2 linked regions of the Arabidopsis thaliana genome follow. The protein of the gene in region 1 interacts with the protein of each later gene in a pairwise test. Each region holds a gene or a part of one and is shown on either strand. Other genes may lie near its edges.

Region 1 (9,584 bases):
AACTTTAAAAGTCTTGTTGGCTGTAAATTTTGTGGATTAAGTTTATTGATGGGACCAAGATGATGATTGTCGGTTAGTGTGTTACTACTGTCTTCAAGATTTGAATCTGGTTCTCTTGGAATTATCAAGACAGACTATGGCATGACTTAGCTACCTAGAGACGACGACTCAAGAATCTTCTGATTTGTTTGTTGGTTTTGTTTGGCTTATTACAAATGTTATTTTTACTTTGGCCTTTATTGTATGTAACAGGAGCTCAAGAACTTGAGGCCTCAACTTTATTCAGCTGCTGATTACTGTGAAAAGTCTTATCTTCATAGCGAGCAAAAGCAAATGTAAGTAACCTCCTTAATTTTACTCTACTAGTAGCTTTGAATGACATTTCTTCTCTTTACATTATTACCTTTCTGTTTAGGGTATTGGACAATTTGAAAGACTACACTGTGAAGGCTCTAGTTAATGCTGTTGATCACCTTGGAACTGTAGCTTCCAAGCTTACTGATCTTTTTGATCACCAAAATTCAGACATATCAACTATGGAAATGAGAGCTTCTTGTGTTAGCCAGGTAACTAAACTCTCTCACACACTTCTCTATTTATTTATCTTACCTTTTCTAGGCAATCTCCCTTAAGGTTTGTGTATGTTCTTTTCATCAGCAACTGCTTACATGCCGGACATATATCGACAAAGAAGGTCTTAGACAGCAACAGCTATTAGCAGTTATCCCATTGCATCACAAGCATTACATTCTTCCCAGTAAGAGTTTTTCTTGTCCCTTGTTAAGATTCTGTTAGTTTACTAGTGAAATCTGATTTCTTTTTTCTCTCGACTGTTGTTAGATTCTGTTAACAAGCGGGTACACTTTAGTCCTCTCAGACGAACTGACACAAGACAGAATCATTACCAAGCTATATCCCGTCTTCAACCTTCAGGTGCAATGTCCTCATCTTTGAGCTTATTAGTTAATAATACAAGCAGTCAAATATCAAACAGTTTAAGTAATATGCTTGGTTTGACTCACTTAGATGCCCCTGCATCGAAATCACTCTCCTGGCATTTAGGCTCAGAGACCAAGTCTACCCTCAAAGGAACATCCACAGTTGCACCAAGGTGAGTTCACAAAAAGCTTTAGTACTGCTTCTCACGTTCTTGATAACTAATACATATTTACTGTGCAGCTCCAAAGATTCAAAAGCTTTCTCAAAGACATCTGGAGTGTTCCATCTCTTAGGTACGAGAAACAGGGAGTCGGGGAAGTATCAAACATAGCATTTCTTCTTAGACAACTCTTGCCAAGAGATTGATGATATACATTGAAACTCATGCAGGTGATGATGAAAACATAGCAAACAAGAAGCCTTTGGCTGGTTCTCAGGTCTCAGGTGTTCCTGCTGCATCCACTGCCCATAAGGTAAAAAAATTTAGAACACATGAAACTAATCTTTCATGAATCGGGCAGTTCATGTAGAAAAATGCAACTGGATTAGTAAGCTGTGTATTTGTAATCATGGTTTTGATGAGACAAGTTTGTGATTCAACAGGATTTGGAGGTTCCGAAACTTCTAACTGCACACAGGTCACTTGATAACAACCCGCGACGAGAGATCATTCAAGCTCCTGTCCGGACAAAGAGTGTTCTTTCTGCGTTCTTTGTTAAACAGAAAACTCCAAAGCTCAAAGCTGGCTATGTCTCGTGAAAACACCAACTCTTTGTACTGAGAAGGAAATTTCAATCTCATACCACGTTTCTTTTACCTTATATAATAACATGTTGATTTTCATGTAATTATCTTAATCACCACATCAACGTACGAAGTCCAGTAAGACATGATTTTGGTCTATCATTAACAAAACTGTGTAATAGATTAAGAATGTGTTTTTAGAATGTAAAAGCTTAATAAAGATTTCTGTTGAGTTATTAATTAACATTGTATCAAATTAACAACAGAGAAACCAACATAGAGAACAAAATGGCTCACAACATAGCCATTCCAACTCAGTTGATTCAGCGCGTAAACCGATACCAACTCAGGCTTGAGGCTTCAGGGCTTCATGGAATTCATAAGGTCTCTAATAAATTATCAGTACCTTGGAGCTGCACCAAAAAAAAACAGCCAAAGGTTACAAAAGCGAATTCACATAGTCTAATACCATAGTAGCAGTAGATTCAGATGTCTCAGCCGGAAGATACATACCTCCACCAAGTGTAGCTTCAGGCAACTTCTCTATTGAGTACTTGCGATTAGTCACATACATGATGGGCACACCAGGAATCTGCAAACAAACATAGAAAAAAGTTGATAATATCCAAAGACTTCAGCCATGGATATAAACAAGAGCACTGATACAACAAACTATCTTTACCTTTCGAATCCTTCGCTTTAAGTCTCTATCACATGTAGCCACTATGAAGCATTTATGCTGTATATTATGAGAAATGAATATTACAGAAACATACAAAAGATAAAATGTATACACCAAGAACCATGGGACCAGAGCATCGGTATATCATTTCAGAGTCTTGAATACAAAGTTCAACAAGCCGGGAACGATGTATTACCTGAGTAACTCTGTCAACGAGACAGTCATCAGCATATGTCCCTTTGTGTATACAAGGTAGTCTTTCGAAGTGAGGATCTTTCGCAATCCTACCAAATATTATAGTAAACCAATTACGAATCCACGAAACAAAACCATAAACAGAAAAGCCTTGTTCAAAAAGTCTAAAAGATTTACCTTAGAGCTACACGATACTTCTGACCTAACTTCTCTAACTCAGCCATGACACAATCCGTGATACAAGGAGTGCCTTCAAACCAGAAACAATTACAGGTGGTTAACAAGAGAGAGAACCTATATAGACCTATCAAAATCTTTAAGTAACTCACAATTTGCGTACAGACAGTCTCTCATTCCCTTCTCAAGATCGATCTATTAGATACACCAGAGCAAAATAAGTCAAAAAGGATTTCAAACAATGAGAGATTCCAATCAGGTTCACCAAGACTATAAACTCTACAAAGATCGATACACATTCTGATTATAGCTCTGTGATAGAGAAATGCAATTGAAGATGAACCGACCTTATTCTGGATAGAGAAGTTGATGAAGTTAGTATCCACCAAAACACGGTAAGGAGGAACCAATGTAGAGTTGTAAGAAAAGAAAAGCCCTGCAGGAACACTCGGTCTGATCCAAAAACAAATCAAACGAAACCCAAATAATTACAACTTGGCAACGAAAGCTAACAGTGGTAGGAAGCTTACACGTTTCTCGGAAGTTCCGTGAGGTCCTTCTTGTTTGGATTCAGAACCTCTTCCTTGTAACTATATAAATAAAAACAAAACTAAGAATCTCTTTAAAAAAGGATCAAATTTGAAGGAAGACGAATCGTTTACTCACTGCTTCAAAGCTTTGTGGCTAATCATCTTCTTCACGACAGCAAACTTTTGAGGTTTCTTTGCCTTTCCCATCTTCGAAGCAAAGAGTAACAAAAACCCTAGAACGACGCAGAGAGAAAGACTGGGAAGCTGAATATGCGAGGTCTGAATCGGCGGAGGCTGAGAAGTGGTTTTCGAATTGGGTATCAGAGACGGAGACTAACGCTCAATATACAGCCTAATTATAAGCCCAATAATAAAATAAATGGGCCTAATTTATATGGCCCATAAGCGAAGCGAGTTTCTTAAATCACGTGTTAGTAAAGGTTAAGAAACGAAGAGAAAATTCCAGATTTTTCAAAGTGATGCGAGAATGATCTGGAGAGCAGAAGAAATATCTTTTCCCTCTGAACGTTGTTGTTCGTCTTTCTATAAATCAAGAAATGTCTTTGGATTGTTCACTACCCATAGAAAAAGCTGCAATCATCTGAATCAGAAAGTAATTCGAAGAAGAAATCTGCTTTTTTTAATTGGTGGAGAGAGTGAGAGAGCTTCGCAGGAACTGAGTCATCGGAATTTACGGATCGTTTCTGTTTCGTGTAAGCTCCGTCATTTTCCCTTCTTAGTTTAATGAATAGCTTTGAGAATCTTGAGTTCATTGCTCTTAGTTTAATGAAGATGCGATTGATTTAGTTTGGCAGATTTTGGTGATTGTGGTAACGAAATAATTCTGAATGAACCAAATTCACATTGTATTTTTCTAATGATATATGGATTTGGGTATTTGCTGCAGTTTTACTGGAATTGGTTAAGTGATCTTGATTAAAGATGATGCCTGTGTACATGGATCCATCACAACCATGTCAAATGAGACCACAGGAATACTATTATCAAGGATTTGGTAATAACTCTCAGCATATGGCAATGGATGCTCCACCACCGTGTCATGGAAGCTGCGTTCACGGCAACTTTCCTGCTTACTGGCCTCCTTGTTATCCCCCACAAGTACCGTACCATCAATGCTGCATGAATCGTTCCGCTTTCCATCCTCCTCACGCGTCTTACGCTCCGTCTTGTTACGTTCATCCACCATTTCCAGTTGGTTATCAACCTTGGTTTGATGTTGAGAAGGATGTGCCTGGGAAGCATCACTGCGGGAAATGTTCTTCCCAGATGTGTGATTTGAAGAAAGACAGAGGCGTTGTGATTGAAGAGCATGAGCCTGAGATTGAGAAAGGAGAAGCTGTACTTCCAGTTCGTTCTACTAACTGCCCTTACCCAATTATATGGATTCCTCATGAGAATGCTAGGAATCAGGAATATAGAAGCTCTCTTGGGTTAGGGAAGCATAACCAGCCTCCTGCTGAAGTTAGAGCTCCTGACAATATGACGATTCAGAAAAGTTTTCCTGAATCTTGGCGTGGTTGTTTTCCATTTGATGAGAGCAGCATGAAGTCGTTGGTACAGAATCAAGACAGTAAAAAGGCGCAGAATGGGAAAACCGTGGAAGCCCCGTTTGATATCAGCAAATTCAAATCCTTATTGCAAGGTCAAGACATGAAGGAAGCGCAAATCCAGAAGAACAAGGAAGAGCTGGGACAGCTTACGTATCCTACTTCTTGGGTTCCATCTCGTCGGAAACGAGATGATGTTGAAGCTTCTGAGAGTAGTAATGAAGACAGGAAAAAGATGCAGAATGGGAAAACGGTGGAATACCCGTTTGATATCAGCATGATAAAATCCTTAATCCAGGGTCAAGATGTGAAGGAAGCGCAGAACCAGAAGAACAAGGAAGAGCCTGGACAGGTTCCGTATCCTATTTTTTGGATACCATCTTATGGGAAACGGAAAGATGTTGAAGCTTCTGAGAGTAAGGAGAGTAGTAATGAAGGGCGTAACTTGGAGTCTTGCCCCTCTGATCTCCACAGAAATGAAGGGCAGATAACTCAAGCAAAAGGCAAAGAAGGGAATTTTGAGTGCAATGTACTTTCAGATGCGGAGGAGAAGAGCTCTGTAATAAATATCCCAGTGGCGAACCATCTACAGGAACCAAGAAATATTCCAGTGAAACTATCAGAAAACCATCTGCCTAAACCAACGGAGCCAACCAAAAGGATTGCAAAGAATGAGCCAGTTAAGAGCACAAAAAAAGAGCAGTCTTCGTCATCATCAGAAGCATCCAAGTTGCCTCCGGTTTGTCTGCGTGTTGACCCATTACCGAAAGAGAGAAATGGTGGTTCCAAATCAGTAAGTCATCCTAAACGGATGGAAAAATCTAAGGAGACTAAGATCGCGGCTCCACTGTCCTCCAAGAAGGCTGAATCAAGGACTGTTCCTGAGGCTTGTAATGTAAAATGTGAAGACGCAAACGCAGAAATGAAGATGGCTGAGGGAAGCCTAAACGCATTAAGAACAGAAAAAGGATCAGTTGAGAGCAATTCTAATCTTCAAGAAGAATCAAACGGTGAGATTATTAAACCTTGTGAAGCTAAGGAGAATAGAGAACAGCCTGCAAAGAAGAGCTTTACAGAAGAGGAAGCTGCTAGAATTATCCAATCTATGTACCGTGGATATGACGTGAGAAGATGGGAGCCAATTAAGAAATTGAAGGAGATAGCCACTGTCCGTGAGCAGATGGGAGATGTTAAAAAGCGTATTGAGGCGCTAGAAGCTTCTACTGATCAGCACATTGAAGAGAAGGAGATTGTTGTTAATGGAGAACTGGTGATGAACCTTCTTTTGAAATTGGATGCTGTCGAGGTAATGCATGAAAGACTAATTTCATTGGTTGGCCGAGATAGTTTATCTCAGTATGTACTGCTGTGTAGGATTTTTGCTGACAGTTTCCTATACTGATGTTTATCTTCCAGGGATTGCATCCTAGTATAAGAGAGTTCAGGAAAGCTTTGGCCACAGAGCTCTCAAGCATTCAAGACAAGCTTGACTCCTTGAAAAATAGTTGCGCCAGTGCAGAGAAAGAGGCTGTAAAGGAACAAGTGGAAATTAAATCTCAGCCTAGTGACTCTCCAGTGAACTTGGAGCACTCCCAGCTCACAGAAGAGAACAAAATGGTATCTGACACGAATTTAGAGAAGGTACTTCGTCTGTCTCCCGAGGAACATCCTATGAGCGTCTTGAATAGAACAGATGAAAAACAGGCTGAATCGGCTGCTGAAACAGAAGAGGGATATGGATTGTTTGAAACCCTGGCAACGGATTCTAAGCAAGCTACTGAAAATGCAGCGGCTGCTTCCTCGACAACAATTCCAGAGAAAATTGGAGAGGTTGAGACTGTTGTTCCGGGTAATCCACCGTCAGCTGATGGAAACGGAATGACAGTGACCAACGTAGAGGAAAACAAAGCCATGGTGGTGGAAAGTTTGGAGGAGCCAATAAACGAATTGCCGCAAATGGTGGAAGAGACTGAAACAAACTCCATACGGGACCCGGAGAATGCTAGTGAAGTCTCTGAAGCCGAAACCAACTCATCAGAAAATGAAAACCGAAAAGGAGAAGATGATATTGTATTGCATTCAGAAAAAAATGTCGAGCTCTCAGAGCTACCTGTTGGAGTGATTGACGAGGAAACACAGCCTCTTTCGCAAGATCCATCGTCATCATATACTCGTGAAGGGAATATGACTGCAATGGACCCTAAAACAGCGAGCCAGGAGGAAACAGAAGTTGATCACTCACCCAACAACTCCAAAGGCATTGGCCAACAGACTTCTGAGCCACAAGATGAAAAAGAACAGTCTCCAGAGACCGAAGTCATTGTGAAAGAACAGCCTCTAGAGACAGAAGTTATTTTGAACGAACAGGCTCCGGAACCGGAAATCACTGAACCTGGGATATCAAAAGAAACCAAAAAGCTGATGGAGGAGAACCAGCGATTCAAGGAAACGATGGAGACGTTGGTTAAGGCAGGCAGAGAACAACTAGAAGTCATATCGAAATTAACCAGTCGGGTCAAAAGCCTTGAGAAGAAACTGTCACATAAGAAAAAGACACAGATCAGACGTCGTGCAAGCAAACCAATGTCCGTAAGTCCAACCGATGCCGTATTATGACCCCCATAAACATTGATATGTCTCAATTCCTCATATATTGTATCCATCTCCATCCTATTGAGTACAGAAAAGAGAACGAGAACTCAAAAATTGTCTTAACGAAAATCCAAATATTTGCCTCTCTGTTTTCTTCGACGTTCATGGATAACCTCCTTAAACGACCCATTCGCTCTGACAGATTCGACTAAATTTTGTGTCAAGGCCCAATATATAACTATATAAGGCCCATACAATGATCAACCCATTAGTTATTTCAAATGTTTTTATTATTTATTTCAAATTTTTGCTATAGGTGTAAATTTCATGTATTATTACTTTAATTACATTTAAAATTTGTATCTTTCAAATTTGTTATGGGAGAAAGAAAGAGAATGATTGTGTGGTTTGTGCGGACATAGTGATCCTTTTCATGCCATAACTCACTCTTCGTTTTCTTCTTTCTCATCGTCACGTTAGGTTGTCTCTGAGCCGCCAAATATTCATCTCTTGTGGTCCCGTTCACGTCCCAACGCCATTTACACTCATCTCCGTAACCTCTCTCTTATGTGCTTTCTCATTACAAACAACTAAAATTCTCAAAGATTAACATGTGCAAGAGAAATAACAAGTAATGATATGATCTCATTCTCACCTAATCTATGGTTGAAAAAAAGGAAATGGTGTCAGTATTAGTCATAATAAAGCCTTGGAGTTGTAGACTATAGCATGAAAGGACCAGGAATCTTCAAGCATGGTTATTTTCTGATACGAATGATTTATATTTTAATCGTTTATTAACACCCATTTAACCTCATAATGACTCTATTAGCCTACTCTCAATCCCCAAATTTACTAGCATAATTAACTAATTCAAGGGATTATCTTCACCCACTTGTGTGCATCCATCAAAAGTTAATTTCTTATCTTAGAAATACATTTCATCTAAACCAAACAAATGATATACACTCTCATTTCTATTCATTAGTGTCATTTCTACAATTGTAGCAGTATGTTAACTACTGTAACTATTGTGATCCAAATATACAGTAAAAGGTTGCACCTCTACTGTAACTATTTTAACAAGTTCGCAAAATGTACATAGGAGAAATAGGTTGATTTCCATGGAGAAAAGAAAATAGTAAAAGGTGAAAAAGGTTCACTCACACGCATCCTCTGTCTCTGAGAGATATATTTCCCCTTGCAGTAAATAAAAATCTATGGCTTTGTTGGGAAGAAGAAAAAGTCAGAGTAAACTCGTAATCTTTGTCGGGAGAGAGTAACAGGCTTTTGATGTTGTAACATTATACTACTATTGTTTTAAAAAGCAAAGAATTGTAGTAGTAAGAATTACAATCATACTTAACAACAAATCACGTTTTTCGGGTTTTTGTATAAATAAATGATAAAGCAAGATGGACAAATTTTAAGGATAAGCCATTAATAAGTGATCTGTGAATTTTTAAGGAAAAGACGAAAGAAACAGAGAGAGTCGAGACACAACTGTCTCCAAGAAGACAACCTTCCACAGCTTAAGGGAAACAGAGGTGGAAACAGAGGTGAAAACAGAGCGAGTAAAGAGATGGAGAGAGAGTGTGAAGAAGGAGAAATGGAGAAAAAGCTGAGACGAAGTTTCATGGGCTATACTAGGAGAGCTGGTCCTTCCACTCCTCCACCCACCTGGCGGCTCGAGTTTTCGCCGCCACGAGTCGGAGCGACCAAGGAGTTTTTGGCGAATTCGGAGGACTCTGTCCGGAAATTGTGTGCTGATTTGTGGGAAACTGAACAATTCCGGCAAAGAATTGAGCTGCGACGGTGTCGACGAAGGGATTCAGATGTGGAATCGCATTCCCGTAGCCCGCTTCACGATCATGTAAACAATTTTGGCGCTTTTGATTTGCTTGAATGTTTTTGACGGGTTTATGTAGGGTTTTAGTCTTCTTGTTTTGATAGGTCGTAAAGTTGTGATCTTTACGGTGAGGTTAGAGTATATTCGACCGGAAAAAATCTCATTTTTGCGCAAATTCCACCGAGAAAATCTCAAAGTATTGTTCTTTATGATGTGGTCTTTTGCTCGTCTATGCACAAATTTCATTGGACAAATCTCATGGTCGTAAAGTTGGCTCGTAAGTGTGTTTAGTATTTATATATGAGTTT
Region 2 (5,749 bases), on another chromosome or scaffold:
TATATTTGACAGATGGAAATATATCTCTACATGTAAAATTTGTGAGCAGTGTTAGTTTTTCTGCTTACCGAAAATTGTTAAATTAAAGCATAAATTGTTTTCTTCAAACGTGTAAATGATTTATGGTCTCAAAACAGAGTGCCATTAATGATGCAATTACAATTACTCGTACAAAAAATATCTAATTCTTATAGGATTGATAAAAAAAGCTCTAAAAGTTTTCTCTGTCCAGCATGCACAAGGTCATGAATCTTAAAGAACACTCTTAATAATGCCCTTTTGTTTCTCATAGAGCCTTGTGCTAAACTCCTAAATGCCTAGTATTTGATTAGGGTTCTTAATTTTGTTAATGGAATCCCCATCATGTTGTATTCGAAGGTCTAGTTGAAGTTTATCTAGAGTTGAGTGATAATTTACTTTGTAAGCCAGTAAGCACTAATTAAACTTCAAAATAGGAAACAAAACATGAAAGACACTATAATGTCTAGCCAAAAAATGACATTATAATGTCTATAGCTAATAAGTAAAGTGTCAATGCTTTGGAATTTGCCATGTGCAAATGGACCAACCTTAAAGTAAAAAAAAAAACGTAAAACAAAAGTGAAAAGGAGAATAAAATAAAAATAAAGCATGGAGACCTAAATCACAAAAAGGGTATAATATTATAATTTTACCGTTGAAATGAATAATTTCTTTTGACTAAATGGGAATTTAAGGTTTTAGATAGAGAGAAAAAGAAAGAGGTGAGAAAAACAAAAACAGATAGGAGGAATATGAAGAAGAGTAAACGAGAGAACTTGCTTTCTCCTTCATCTTCATGGCGGGAAAACCATAATCCTCCACGGAGAAACTCAAACTCCTCCGCCGTCTCCTCCGGCTGCCTCCCCGGGTTCTTCAACCTCTTCCTCTCCACCTTCAACCGCCGCAAATCCATCACCTTGGGATCTAAAAAGCGAGAACAAAGAACCGTCGTTTACGCTTCTCCTCCGCAAGATTCATCAAACGGACAAGGCGGAGGAATCGTTGCGCCACCGCTTCCGCACAATGAAGGAGAGGGAGATGCGGCGAGAGTTAGTCTAGTCGGAGCACTAGAGAAATGTGATCGGGACTTAGAGGAGCTAAGAAGAACCATCGACGTCATCAAAACCACTTACATTCTTCACAAGAGACTTGAGGTTTCTCCGCCGACCACACGTGAGAATTTTAAATTCTCCGGCACCGGTACGTTTCTCCGTTTTTGTCAGTGTTTTGGTCATCTTATACGTTTAATACAAACATGTCGAAATCATCTTTTTTTTTTTTCACTTATAAAAACTTCTCTTATTTATTGATAACTTAACAAAAATCAAGAAAGAAAAATTCATATTAAAATGTGGGAGAATTGATGTGGTCCGTAATTTGTAGCACATTATCAGGGAATTTTGTATTTTAATCTTTTGTTGTTCAAAATAAATAAATTAAAGTAGTAAACTTAAGTGAACATTGTGTCAACTAAAGTAGCAATAAAGAGTGAAGATAGAATGGGAAGGCCAAAGAGTTGTCTCTTTAATTTGGTGGTGTTGAAATCATGAGTATGTCCAATAGTGGAAGACAGGCTCATCATTTTGGTATATACAAATAAAAGTATATTGATAAAGACATCTTATTGCTCTAACAATTTCATGCATGCATAAACTGTGTTATTTGATTTTGATGTCACATCTAATTGCTCTAACAATTGGATCATTATATAGTTGTTGTCATATTGAGGATAGTGTTCAAAATTATATAAAGACAATATAGTATGGACCCCAATTAAGTTTCGGTGGGGCTAATTATGTAATGAGGTTTAGTCTAATCTGATAGGATCAAATTAAAGTGGAGAAGAGAGTAAAGAAAGTGTGAGGAGAAAGAGGCATGTTAGACAAATGATGAAGGAAGAAACAGCTTTTAGGGGCCTTTATTCCTTTAGTCATGAAGCCCACTTTAACTTTTCCCATCATTTGGACCCCCACCCATTCTTTGATTTATTCCTGATTCTGACCCACATACTGTTTTATGGTACCAAATCAAGAACACCACTTTTAAAGAAAAATGATTCTACAAGCACTTCATGTATGCCTGAGTCTTATTATTCGCTAGTAATAGTTTATATATATTTGTGTGACAACGTACTAATTTATATACTAAACACACAAGTTGTCTGATAAATTATTTTCGTCTTATTTAACAAACAACCAACAGTACTGGCAGGAGATGTCGTCGTGGGGACGCACACGCAGAAGAACACGAAGACGACACAACACGAACCAGACACAGACACGATGTTGTCGATGATGAACCATCACGAATATTGCTGCAAAGACAACAAACCCTACAAAGTCAACAATATAAATCTAATCACTAGACCCGATCATTACTCCATTCATGACGTCATTTCCAAGAGATCAACGTCAACGACGACGACAGAGTCATGTGGCACGTTGCCCCTTGTGGTGCGGAGGGTAAGACGGAGCTTGATGGAGAGCGTGAACCAAGTTTGTGATGACGTGGCATCTGGTCAACGAAGAGAGGTCGCTAAAATCGGTTTGGCTCTTCATGATCACATCTGTCGCGACTTGATCGCAGAGACCGTTCGAGAGCTCTCCTTCTCTGACTACGACGACGACGAGTTTTATCAATCGCCGGTGGATTCTTCTGTTTGTTACGGCGGAGGAGGTAAAGGCCAACACATCCGACGTGGCAGCAGCAACTCTCTCCCATTCGACGCGTGTCGAAGAAGATTAGTGTTTTGATGCGATTGATATCTTTAGGTTCGTTGTGACGGTTATGGAAGTCATAGTTGCGACAATTTTCACCTATGACACTTGTTGTTTAAATTATTTTATAATTTTCTTAGCTTATTCAGAATTTAAGACATATCTTTCAATAGAGTGCAATTGGTTGTTTAGGGTTTAATGAATGATACACTATTTGCATTCAATATAAAAACTTTCCCTATTTGATGAATTCATGTATATACTAGTACTACATAGATTTCCTTAAATAAATGAATGATTAACAAAATCAGAAACAATATATTCATCTAGATACAGATATTAATGTTTTTTTTAATAACTCATCCTATATTTTAAAACTCGATCGTTTTCTCTTTATATATACCTTTCTTAAGTTACCTTATATACATAATTTAATCATAGAATTTATTAAGAAATTGATTAGACGTATCAATTATATCTTGAAGTGATTTTGATTGTTTGAAAACGAAATCTAATCTAATTAATTTGCAGGTGATATTGTACTTAAGTTAACAATAAAAGAAACTAATTATTTGTTTTCAATGGTGAGGAGGACTACTTAAATTCAAAAGCGAAGCCAATCATAAACAGACATCTGTACTGAGAGAGATCTCGAGGACCCAGCGAGAATGCTGACGTGACAGTCAAGTCAACGCTCCGCGTACAGACCGCGTGAACGTGTGATCCGTTTAATTGTCCACTCTGGCGTTTTATAAGAGAAAAGAAATCATTGATGATAGCATTAACGCAATTACAGTCATAATCCGAGGTTATAACAGAGATTTTTCCAAACCCGGTACGGGTTAAAAAAAAAAGCTTTTAAAGTCCCGGGTCGGAGCAAAAGTCGTTAATAGCTTCGTACCCGATAAATACGGTTGCTCTCTCGTTTTTTCCAGCAGAGACACTTTTTCTAATTTTCTCTTCTTCTTCTTCTTTCTCGTTTTGAGAGAAAACAAAAAAATTCTGAATCTACAGGTTTCACGAAAAGGAGAAGAAAAAAACAATGGCGGATCAGCTCACCGACGATCAGATCTCTGAGTTTAAGGAAGCTTTCAGCTTATTCGACAAGGATGGTGATGGTACGTTGTTGTTTTTTTCTCTCTCCCTCTCGCAATTTCAAATGTTTTTGAATACATAGGATTTTGCTACTGTTGGATCTTGGTGTCTAGCCATAACTGATTTGATTTCTGTTCTTCTTGTTGATTCAATTGATCTGTGTCGATGTAGATAATTAACGGATCTGTAATTCGTGATCTCTAGACTCGTTCCTTGTTTTTCAATTTTTGTTCGTTTGTTTCCTGGATTGGATTTGAATCGAAATTTGGATGATTGATGACTTGGAGATTTGCCAATTTGTTATCGATTTGGATTTAATTTTCCATCTGAATTATTTTATCTCACTTTAGATTTGAGAAGTTAATGACTAGAAACTGTTAATTGAGAAGTTTGGGATCTAGCTAAAATGCTTCTCTACAGAGAAACCTGCTTTGAGTTTCGTAATTGAAGATATTTGATTGAATTAGATTTACAGAGAAGTGAATGATGAACAAATTCTTGATTTGCTTGTAGGTTGCATTACCACCAAGGAGCTGGGTACTGTGATGCGTTCCCTTGGACAAAACCCAACCGAAGCAGAGCTTCAAGACATGATCAACGAAGTGGATGCTGATGGTAACGGTACCATTGATTTCCCAGAGTTCTTGAACCTTATGGCTCGTAAGATGAAGGACACCGACTCTGAGGAAGAGCTCAAGGAAGCATTCCGGGTTTTCGACAAGGACCAGAACGGTTTCATCTCAGCAGCTGAGCTCCGCCATGTGATGACAAACCTTGGTGAGAAGCTTACTGATGAAGAAGTTGATGAGATGATCAAGGAAGCTGATGTTGATGGTGATGGTCAGATTAACTACGAAGAGTTTGTTAAGGTCATGATGGCTAAGTGATGCTGTTTTAGAACCAAACAATGGCTCTATAAACTTGGTTTGCATCTCTTACATATAAATTCTTATGTTATGTTCTATAATTTTTATTCATGGGACTCGAGGTATGTTTTCTGCTTGTTTAAGACGCGAATGTTTTATCCCTTTTATGCTCTATTTTGCGTCTGAACATTTTCAAAAGTCTTGTTTTTTTGTTGTCTTGCTCCTGTAATTTGTAACCTTGGTCTAGTTCGCGGTTTTTTATTAATGGTGTCTCTCTAGTAAAGCATTGTATCATGGTTTTGTGAAATGCAAATTAGGTCCTATCAATGACTAAAAAGGTCAAAACGTGGTGTGGTGTGTATCATTAAAAAAATAGAAACCGACATAAAAGTTTCCAATTCGTGGTCGTTTAAGAAAAAGGAAAACGGCATAAAGTTTCCTATTCGTGGTTGAATTGGGATCATTCAATTGATGTGAATATAGGTAAAATACCTTTGTGTTTCTTTGTTCACGTTCGTTTCATACTTCCCCTAAATTTGTCTCATCATGGATAACAAGAAGCAGAGATATTCCAGGAGCATCCGTGACGATCGTGATGAGAGAGATAGGACTAAGCATCATCATGAGAGGTCTCACGAAGGAAGTAAGAGGAAAGATAGATCAGAGGAAGAGAATGGGGCGGCTAGGACGACAAACAAGAGTTCTAGGTTTGAAGATGTAGCTAGGTTTGAGAAAAGGCCGTATACTTGTTCTATTGCATCGGACACTACTTCTAGTCAAATCCTTGAAGCTGTTAAACGATTTCAGGAGCTGGCAATAGATACGGCTGTTGCACATAAACAGACCAAGGGCTTTTTTCTGCGTGTAGATGTACTTGGAAGAGAAATAGATGAGTATGGGCATGTGATTAATCTTAGTACATTGATGGTTAACAACAACAAACACAAGAAAGATGTTTTTCAGAATATTCTTAAACCTCCCCAACCTTTTAAATTGACAAAGAAGGAAGAGAAGAAACTGCAAACTCTAAGGCGTGTGGCAAAAGAAAAG

Evidence for each region. The genes of interacting proteins can lie anywhere in the genome.
Region 2: the proteins of BAG6 (region 1) and CAM3 interact in binary tests that used the Arabidopsis thaliana proteins (3 or more experiments, as listed by UniProt).

What each region holds. Positions count from the first base shown.
Region 1 is NC_003071.7:18,982,377-18,991,960, forward strand, and holds BAG6 (BCL-2-associated athanogene 6), read left to right. Parts: upstream 1-3,756; 5' UTR 3,757-3,980; intron 3,981-4,174; 5' UTR 4,175-4,209; coding exon 4,210-6,141; intron 6,142-6,251; coding exon 6,252-7,451; 3' UTR 7,452-7,844; downstream 7,845-9,584. Other genes in the region: ABIL1 (ABI-1-like 1), read left to right, coding at 253-335, 416-566, 658-757, 841-1,111, 1,180-1,232, 1,330-1,412, 1,543-1,698; AT2G46230 (PIN domain-like family protein), read right to left, coding at 2,083-2,096, 2,197-2,275, 2,366-2,422, 2,562-2,649, 2,738-2,810, 2,890-2,932, 3,085-3,190, 3,268-3,327 and 1 more; AT2G46250 (myosin heavy chain-like protein), read left to right, coding at 9,010-9,300. UniProt on the Arabidopsis thaliana protein: Co-chaperone that regulates diverse cellular pathways, such as programmed cell death and stress responses. Involved in plant basal resistance. Involved in basal heat response through the regulation of the heat induced small HSP (sHSP) transcriptional cascade.
Region 2 is NC_003074.8:21,033,952-21,039,700, reverse strand, and holds CAM3 (calmodulin 3), read left to right. Parts: upstream 1-3,534; 5' UTR 3,535-3,780; coding exon 3,781-3,856; intron 3,857-4,346; coding exon 4,347-4,720; 3' UTR 4,721-5,167; downstream 5,168-5,749. Other genes in the region: AT3G56810 (uncharacterized protein), read left to right, coding at 774-1,221, 2,224-2,774; AT3G56790 (RNA splicing factor-like protein), read left to right, coding at 5,246-5,749. UniProt on the Arabidopsis thaliana protein: Calmodulin mediates the control of a large number of enzymes, ion channels and other proteins by Ca(2+). Among the enzymes to be stimulated by the calmodulin-Ca(2+) complex are a number of protein kinases and phosphatases. Activates MPK8 in vitro.